2 linked regions of the Schizosaccharomyces pombe genome follow. The protein of the gene in region 2 binds, or shares a complex with, the protein of the main gene of each other region. Each region holds a gene or a part of one and is shown on either strand. Other genes may lie near its edges. The genes, in order: tim50 and tim21.

Region 1 (4,613 bases), 3.0 Mb from region 2:
AATTCCTATGTATTTTACCAAGGCAACATATAATGAATTGGAATACTAGTCACCAAAATCACTTACCACCACTAGCAATTGCAAGACTGAAAAAGTAATTAGTAAAATAGAACAGTACAAAAGAAATAAGTATATTTGTAAATACCCTCCTATAGCATTGAATCCACCACACAAAAGACAACCAGGAACGAAAGGACCGCCATAGGGTCGTTTAAATGCTCTAGGTACAGAAGCAATTACTGTTTTATAGAAATTAGCTAAATACTGAATTAATTAATTTCGCATACAAGCACCACCAAAGGCTAAATTTAGTTAGTTCACGTTGTGAAGTTGATTCACATACCATAAGCAGGGATATAGCTTTGATATATCCTTTGGAAGTATGATTTTCTGAGTTCTTTATTTTCCATTATGAGTTCTTACAAGGAAGATTAAGTTTACAAGAGACAAAGGTGAGATGGGAGAGACTGAGTTGCACTTGCGTAATGTCTTAGACGATGAGAAATAAACCTGGGCAGCAGTAATTTGTATCTTTTGCTTTTTATTTTAAATAACATAATATTTTCTATAAATTTATGTCTAAAAATCTATCAACTTAAATTGCATTGATTTGTGGCTTTTTCATTTGTAACAGGAACACTTGCTAGGATTGGAGGAATGTACTTATGGTATATTTCACGTTCACAATAAATATATTAATGATAATAGGTCTTTATCTTTAACGGATCATACTTCTGGTTCAATATTGCAAGGATGGACTTGCATGTTATGAACGTATTAAGTTAGATATCTCGAGTCAACTATCCAGTCAGATTTATACCGAAAATCAATAAATGTGCAGACATTGACATTAAATTAGAAAATCATCCTTTAAACAAAAGCAAACTAGGAAATTTGATTTGAAGGCTACGACTTGTTACGCTAACGACTTTTCATATTTCCGAAGGCCACTGATTCGAAAGCTAAAGTGTAGCTGAAGTAAAATCACAAGGCTGTATAAAAATCTTTAATTACCTTGAATTTACCTGATGAAGCGTAAACTTCACAAAAGATGTCAATTTTTCAAACTGTTTGAAATAGATATATATTTCAAATTTTAATATCTACCATCTCTAGCGGCTATGCCCGAGTGGTCTAAGGGGGCAGATTTAAGAGGCCTCGGCCTTGATCCCTGCTGTTGTAAAACGCGAGAGTTCGAACCTCTCTGGCCGCAATATATTTTTTACAAATTTGTTTGATGACTCGCAATAGCGCGTTAATTTGTAAACAAAACAACATCTTGAATTCTTAATTTTGCGCCAATTCTCTTTTTTTCATTTATAATGATAGAATAATATATGATCTCGAGTTATTGCTGTGATCCTTCGAAAATACAGAATGCAATATTACAAAATATTTGCAAAGTGGATTCGTATAGTAAGTGATGTTTTTTGCAAGAGAAAAGACAACTGGCTTGTTTCGCCCATTGTCTAAATTAAATTATTCCGGAATTAACTCTTTAAAAATTATCTGGTAAATTATTTTATAAATCTAATAAATTTTGGCTGGAAACATGAACCTTCTTACCGTGCATTACCACCCTCGTTAGTATAATAATCCACAAGCATTCTTTTAGCATAGGACAAAAACTCTGTTCCTTTTTCCATTTCTTTTCCCTTTTTTATGATACTTTTCTCGATTTATTTGTCAAACCTATCGAGTCATACTGTCCGTCTTATTATTCTCCTGCTAATAGATGCATAAAAATAAAGGAGGTTTTACGAGATACCTTACAGTTTGATATCTCAGTGCACTGAAAATACATGGTTTCTTAATGGACTGACACTACGCAAACAACAACAAATTGCCGTACAAAGATAAAAAAGACAACAACATTCAAAATGTTGAACAGGTCTCTTCTTTTTCGTAATTTGAGGCTTGCTAGACCTCGTCCTTTTTTGCCCCTTGTTGGCAAACGGTTTGTGACTGAGAAAAGCCAGTCGCAAGAGGAAAAGGACACATCAAAAATCACCGAAAACGCAAAAGAAGAAGTTAAACGGGACACTTCTTCACTTGCGAAAGAGTCATTAAAATTACTTGATTTAAATGGTTTGAATGATGAGTCCTACACTGGAGACCCTGGAAAAGGACCCGAGTATACTAGTTCAACGATGCTAAAGCGAGAAAAGCAGGCTCGTTATGCATTTTGGGGTTTCTTGGGATTAACGGGAGGTGGTTTACTTTACTACGGTCGTCGCTATGGTCCTGATGAGAAAGAACTAGAAAAGCAGTATCCCGCTGCTGGTTATTCCCCTTCAGATTGGTGGAATAGGGTAAAGGCCCGTACAAATAACTTCTTCTCTTACTATCAGGAGCCTGCATTTGAAAAGTTGCTCCCTGATCCTCTTCCTGAACCTTATAATCGACCTTATACCTTGGTCTTAAGTTTGGATGATCTTTTGATTCATAGCGAATGGACTCGTCAACATGGTTGGAGAACTGCAAAGCGTCCTGGTTTAGATTACTTCTTGGGCTATCTCTCCATGTACTACGAAGTAGTCATCTTTACTAGACAGTATTTAGCAACTGCCAAGCCTATCATCGATAAGATTGATCCATACCACGTAAGTATTAGTGCCGTACTTACTCGCGAGTCAAGCAAATATGAGAAGGGTAAGGTTATCAAAGATTTATCTTACTTGAATCGTGACCTGTCTCGAGTGATCATGATCGATACGAATCCCGAGTCATGGTCCAAACAGCCTGATAACGCAATTGCCATGGCTCCATGGACAGGAAATCCTAAGGATAAGGAATTGGTCGGATTAATTCCTCTTTTGGAGTTTATTGCTATCATGGATATTAAAGACGTTCGTCCAGTTCTTAAAAGTTATCAAGGTAAAAACATTCCCCTTGAGTATGCCCGCAGAGAGGAAAAACTACGCACCAAGTTAATTGAAGATTGGAATGAGAAGAAGAAGAAAGGCAGTTCCTTTTTGTTTGGAGGACGGAGTGTATCTGAAGAGCCACCCAAATTAATCATTGATATACAGCGTGAGCGACAAAAGGCTGCTTATGCTGAATTTAAAAAGTATATTGACGAAAATGGACCTAAAATGCTTGAAGAAGAAAAGGCTCGAGAGGCTGAACAAAAAACAAGCATCTTTAATCTTCTCTTCCATCCAGAAGAGGTTCAGCAACAACAGTTAGAACAAATGCAGCAACAACAATTTTCACCCGAAACAAATGCTTCCAAATAGGCTTTCGATGAAACCCGTGTCAGCGTTTCCTTCCTGAAGAACATTCAAATGAAATAAGAAAAAGGAAAAATTAAACAATAATACGTCCCTTGTGCTTGTTGCTGACTGACACAATGCGGTATTCCGCTTTATTTTGTTCTCTAATTTATGAGAAAATGTAACAACTTTCAAGTCGTATCATTCTGCTTATTTTGGCTTCGTTTTGTCTCATGCCCATGTCTTAATACTTCTTTTACAGGACGACAATTTTGCTTTGGTACTTTGGATTCCTTTTCTCCACCCAAGCTCCGTTCTTTCTAATTCATTTCTCCTACGTTTCCAAGGGTATTGGTGCAAATTCGAAATCTTATTCAAAATTTACTTCTTATATTCAATTCAACCTACAAAAAAGTATTCTTTTAATTTTTTCCTTACTGGTTTTTTTTGTGTACGGACCATGCTGGGAATACGCTGGTCTTCCGAGTTTTTGTTCCTTTATACTGCGCACTTAAAGTGTTTACCTTCTTGGGTCATCCTATTTAAAAATTTGACTGACTATGTAAATTTCCACCAAAACAGGGTATCTATGAATTCTTGTATATAAGCATCAATCAAGGGTTTCCTTCATTTTCGTAATAATAATAATATTGTCCATCTATTTTTTTTTTACTTTTAGTGAGAATTTACCACTGAGTTCCAAAGAAAGCTTTATGTACTGCACTATGTGTATTATCCTTTGTTACCTATGCTACCCTTTAGCCTACTACTACCACATGTGGACTATATGTATTAAAAGAAACTACTAAGAACCAACCACTTTAAGAGCCCACACATCATACCAAACAAAAAACGGGTTAGCTCGCCTGTTATACTATAGTTGAAACAGGATAAAAAGGAGTTTTTACAATATTTCACAAGTTGGTGTGAGTTATGAGACTGAAGGATATAAGCAAAACGGCTACGTTGGCGTGGTCGCCCCGCGGGGTGAATGATAACCAAGCTCTGTTAGCGTTAGGAGGATATACCGGGACGGAGGGTTCTAAAAACAGCGACACCTTGCTTGAATTGTGGAATGAAAATCCTGAATCACAAAAACCCGTTGGATCTATCGACGTGAAGACTAGATTTTACGATTTAGCATGGGAGAAATCGTTAGATAAGCCCATGGGTGTAATCGCTGGTAGTTTAGAAGATGGCGGTATTGGATTTTGGGATCCTGCTGCTATTTTGAAATCAGATGAAGCGTCCGCTTCAATTGCTACCTATAAATCCGAAAACGGCTCGATTCTCGGCCCTCTTGATTTCAATAGATTACAACCCAATCTTTTAGCCTCTGGTGATAATAAAGGTGATGTTTGGGTTTGGGATATCAAGCATCCACAACAGCCTTTCGCT
Region 2 (3,928 bases):
CCATTGGACGTTCGATCAAAACAAAAGCCTTCTTCTGCTAATTCAAATGCTCCAACTCCAGCACCGACCGTCAACACTACCAACCCCGAATCATCAACAAATGAAGCAACAAGTGTAGGTCCTGCTTTGGAACCATCGCAAGGAGCAAATGTTCACAAATCCGATTCTGAGTTGGATAATCAAAATCAGTCAGGAAAATCAAATCCTGATACTTCCGCGACTCCTTCTGCACCTACGGAGTCTACCACAGTTGCCACTAAATCTTCAGACAATCAATTATTGGATGTTGGAAATTCAACAGACATCGATGCGGCTCTTCTAAATGATTTTGACTTCGACAAATTTTTAAAAGATACTAGTACTGGTGACGATTTATGGTTTGGATTGTTTAATTTGCCGGATAATGAAGACTCGACTGCTGCTTAATTTTGTCGAAACTTAAGTATTTTATCCTTGTTTTTCTTCTTTTTTAATTTGTTTATTTGGAAATTATATACCAGATTTTTTCATCTTTTTTGAATGCGTTGCGTTTTGTCATTATAAAAATTTAATATATAATTAATTGCTAGTTGGATATGGATTAGTGTACTCGGTTATAAATACCGGCCTACATCTTGTACTTTATATCTAATAATCAAAATTATTTCATGTGCTTTGAATCATTCTTATATTTTTTATAACTAAACACATTTAGGTAGTACATTAGATTGGCGATTAATCAGCCCCTGCGAAAAGGCCCCTCGTACAAATTCGCTTCTTTATACTAACTAATTAAACAACAAATCATGAGGTTCGATCGCTTAATTAGTAATAAAGTGTCGACGATTTTTTTATTTTTTGCAATATACATCCAAATACTGCATAACTAAGTGTGCTAATTCTGATAAAAATCATTAACATCGCCTGTAAATTAATTCGTAAATTAGAAAATTAATTCTCTGCGAAAAACCATTAATCAAACCATTAAAATCGAGAAATAATTCAATGATTTCCTTTTCGGTTGAAATTAACAGCTATACCTTTCCGTCGTGCGTTTATCATTCGGAAATTCTAATTTCCCCATGTAATATTTTTTAAGCTTCCCCATAAACCAAAATTCTTATGTTGTTGTCGTACAGAATTGGTATGATCAAAAATTATGATTTTTCCGTAATTTGCAACATCAACGAAAAGATATTCCCATTTATAGTCACCTTGAACATTTACAAGTCTTCCAAATACGTGCCCTTTTCTCTCATTACCGATTAAGTGAAATTGTAGTACTAGATGTTCTACACCATGGTGATCCCACACACGACTAGTCAATATACCATGAGTTCGACGAAGAGGATGCGTGGCTTCACCTAGGGCTTTCATGTGATCTCCAAAAACATATCGACATTCTTCATTAGCCTTTAAAAGTTCAAAAGCTTCATCACCGTAATGTGCCTCGCCCTTCCAGATACTAGTGACAAGTGCATATATAATCAATCCGAAAACGCCGCCTCCAAATATCACAATCGAAAAATTTCCAATATTAGCAGAAGTTCTGTATGCTTTTTGAGGAGCCGTCAAATCCTTCCAAGCTTTGTTAGACGGATCTTTGAAAATTCGTGCCAGGCGCCCTTCTTCTTGTGGTTTCCGTTGTTTATTGAGAGAATCAGAAGCCAAAGAGTATAATCTCCTCTGAACCAAAGCTGAAGAAAACCTTGTAGCGCTCTGCCTTTGAATAGTACGAATCATCTAGTTGATACAAAAAGATGCAAAGAAGATGTATATAGTGACGAGGCTAAACGGCATAAAGGCAATGTCTAGTGAGCTCGACATAGGATGCAATGTAGTTCGTTAAATTTTTGAGCTTTAGCAGTGATATGGTTGTTACACCTCATTATTCCGTTAGTCAGGTAATTTAGTAAAAAGCATACTAAAATTTGAGAGTATTTAGCTTGAAAAGAAAGGAGTAATAATGCAACATCATGATTAAACAACGATATATTAAAAGTCAGGGTTATTTTAAAATGAACGAAAGCGAATTAGGTGGAAGATGATTTAGAAAATTTTCAGTCACTAATAAATTCAATAAACGCACGGTCAATTAATTTATTAAATTAATATATTAACAATCGAAGTAAAACCGTAATTGAAATCCTGAATGTTGATTTGCTGATTAAGAACAGCAATTAGTGCTTCGACGATTATTGTACAATATAAAATGAAAGTAAATAAATTTATCACATTGACTTTGTTACATTGTTTATATAAACCTTTAAAAATAGTTGAATATAGGAGAGGAAACTAGTAAAGTTTACAATTGCTAACCTGCTTCCCTTTAATCCACTCGAGTGATTCTCCTTGTAAACTACATTCTGGGGAAACATAGGTGCAGTCGCTTGGACTTAAGATACCACCATTCTTTAAAATCCAGCTTTTACCTAAACTCAAAATATCGTTTACACAAGTTTCATGGTTGTCATTGGGAGATTTACTTGAATTTTTTAGAGGACTAAATGAAGTCCTACGTGGTACCTGGAAACATCCAAAATTTTCAACTGACACACTGGGAAACAAATCGAAAATAAAACTCTCAAGTTTATATCCATTGGGATTTAAAGGTGTAGTATAATGATGAGACGTTACGTCGTAAAATGGAATTTTCTTGCATGCAAGGTGAATAGGAAGGGTACTTGAGTGCAAAGAAGCTTTCTGTAAGAAATCAAAAGAGAAATAATGGTATGCAATGTTAGCCGCACGAAGCAGCAAATGCTTGTGACCATCAACATTTTCTGTAGCTTTGCATGCTTCGTCAGAAATTTCAGAGTACTCTACAACACAAGGATGATTATGGGAAGATACAAGGAGACCCACTTTTTCAGCAGGATCGATTTTTTCAACAGTTTTAGTGGCAACCTCAAGTTTTTTAGTAGTAGCCATTCCTATGAATACAGGATCAACCGGCAAAACAAGAACATTGTCAACGCTATAAGCCGTAATATGGAGTATACCTCTTCTATTCATATCATTCAATGCACCAGAGGAAAGCAAAGCTTCATAAATACCTCCATTGCCGTTAGGAGCCCAAGCTAATGAAGAATCAGATTCAAAAAGGACCCTACCTGAGATATCTAGACAAGGTAAAACTCCTTGCTGGAAGAAAAAAACGTCTTTCTTATCAATACCAAAGAAATCATTCTCCTTAAAAAAAGAAATTGTCTCCTCTGACGTACATTCAGAAACCATTATATACCATGGAATGCTTATAGAGGCTTCTTGATCGGGAAATGCGGCTCTGGCGAGCGCCAACGATTTCTTAATTTTTTGTGCCTGCAGCTCAAAGATGCTCGGATTATTAGGCAGCCCAAGTCTAAAGCAACCTTTTGGACCAGCAAACCCAAGTCGAGTGCCTTGACCTCCTGCCAATACTAAGGCAGCTACATGACCTCTAGCAATTTCCCGAAGACCTGTTCTCCACCAACTTGAGTCAGACGTATCTACAATAGATAGTGGACCAACTTCTGAAGGGGACAATTTTCTGTTCTCTTGGCTTGTCGCTTTAGCATTTCGATACTTCAACCACAATGACCGTAAGTCCAATTGCTGAACTTGATTTAAAAGTTTCCTAAACTTTTGCAGGTCATTCTTTTTTAAATAATTCAATTGATCATACAAATGTAACTGATTAGTTTCTTCAAATATAGACCGATCAAACAATTCTTTGTCGTCCATTTCGTATTTAGCGTTATAAATACAGTCTAAAAAAAAAAAATGAATGTTTGGCAAACTTGAATCGCTAAAAAAATGCTATTTACGCTTCTTCAAGTGCTCTACTACTATTGTCAGTTAATTTGCAATGTCTTACTTTTATTCGCACTATCGTGTTTACCACACAATAGCGAATTTTTACGCATATAAAGGTTTTAAAAGTTTATATTGCAACTTCTCACCGTTTTTT

Evidence for each region.
Region 1: tim21 (region 2) and tim50 share a complex: the UniProt entries of both Schizosaccharomyces pombe proteins name them as parts of the TIM23 complex.

What each region holds. Positions count from the first base shown.
Region 1 is NC_003423.3:1,399,044-1,403,656, reverse strand, and holds tim50 (TIM23 translocase complex subunit Tim50), read left to right. Parts: upstream 1-1,828; 5' UTR 1,829-1,880; coding exon 1,881-3,239; 3' UTR 3,240-3,869; downstream 3,870-4,613. Other genes in the region: protein aim19, read right to left, coding at 67-86, 146-239, 288-302, 344-410; COPII-coated vesicle-associated protein Sec31, read left to right, coding at 4,149-4,613. UniProt on the Schizosaccharomyces pombe protein: Essential component of the TIM23 complex, a complex that mediates the translocation of transit peptide-containing proteins across the mitochondrial inner membrane.
Region 2 is NC_003423.3:4,397,114-4,401,041, reverse strand, and holds tim21 (TIM23 translocase complex subunit Tim21), read right to left. Parts: upstream 1,744-3,928; 5' UTR 1,723-1,743; coding exon 1,051-1,722; 3' UTR 641-1,050; downstream 1-640. Other genes in the region: adn2 (transcription factor), read left to right, coding at 1-426; uap1 (UDP-N-acetylglucosamine diphosphorylase Uap1/Qri1(predicted)), read right to left, coding at 2,275-3,702. UniProt on the Schizosaccharomyces pombe protein: Essential component of the TIM23 complex, a complex that mediates the translocation of transit peptide-containing proteins across the mitochondrial inner membrane. Required to keep the TOM and the TIM23 complexes in close contact.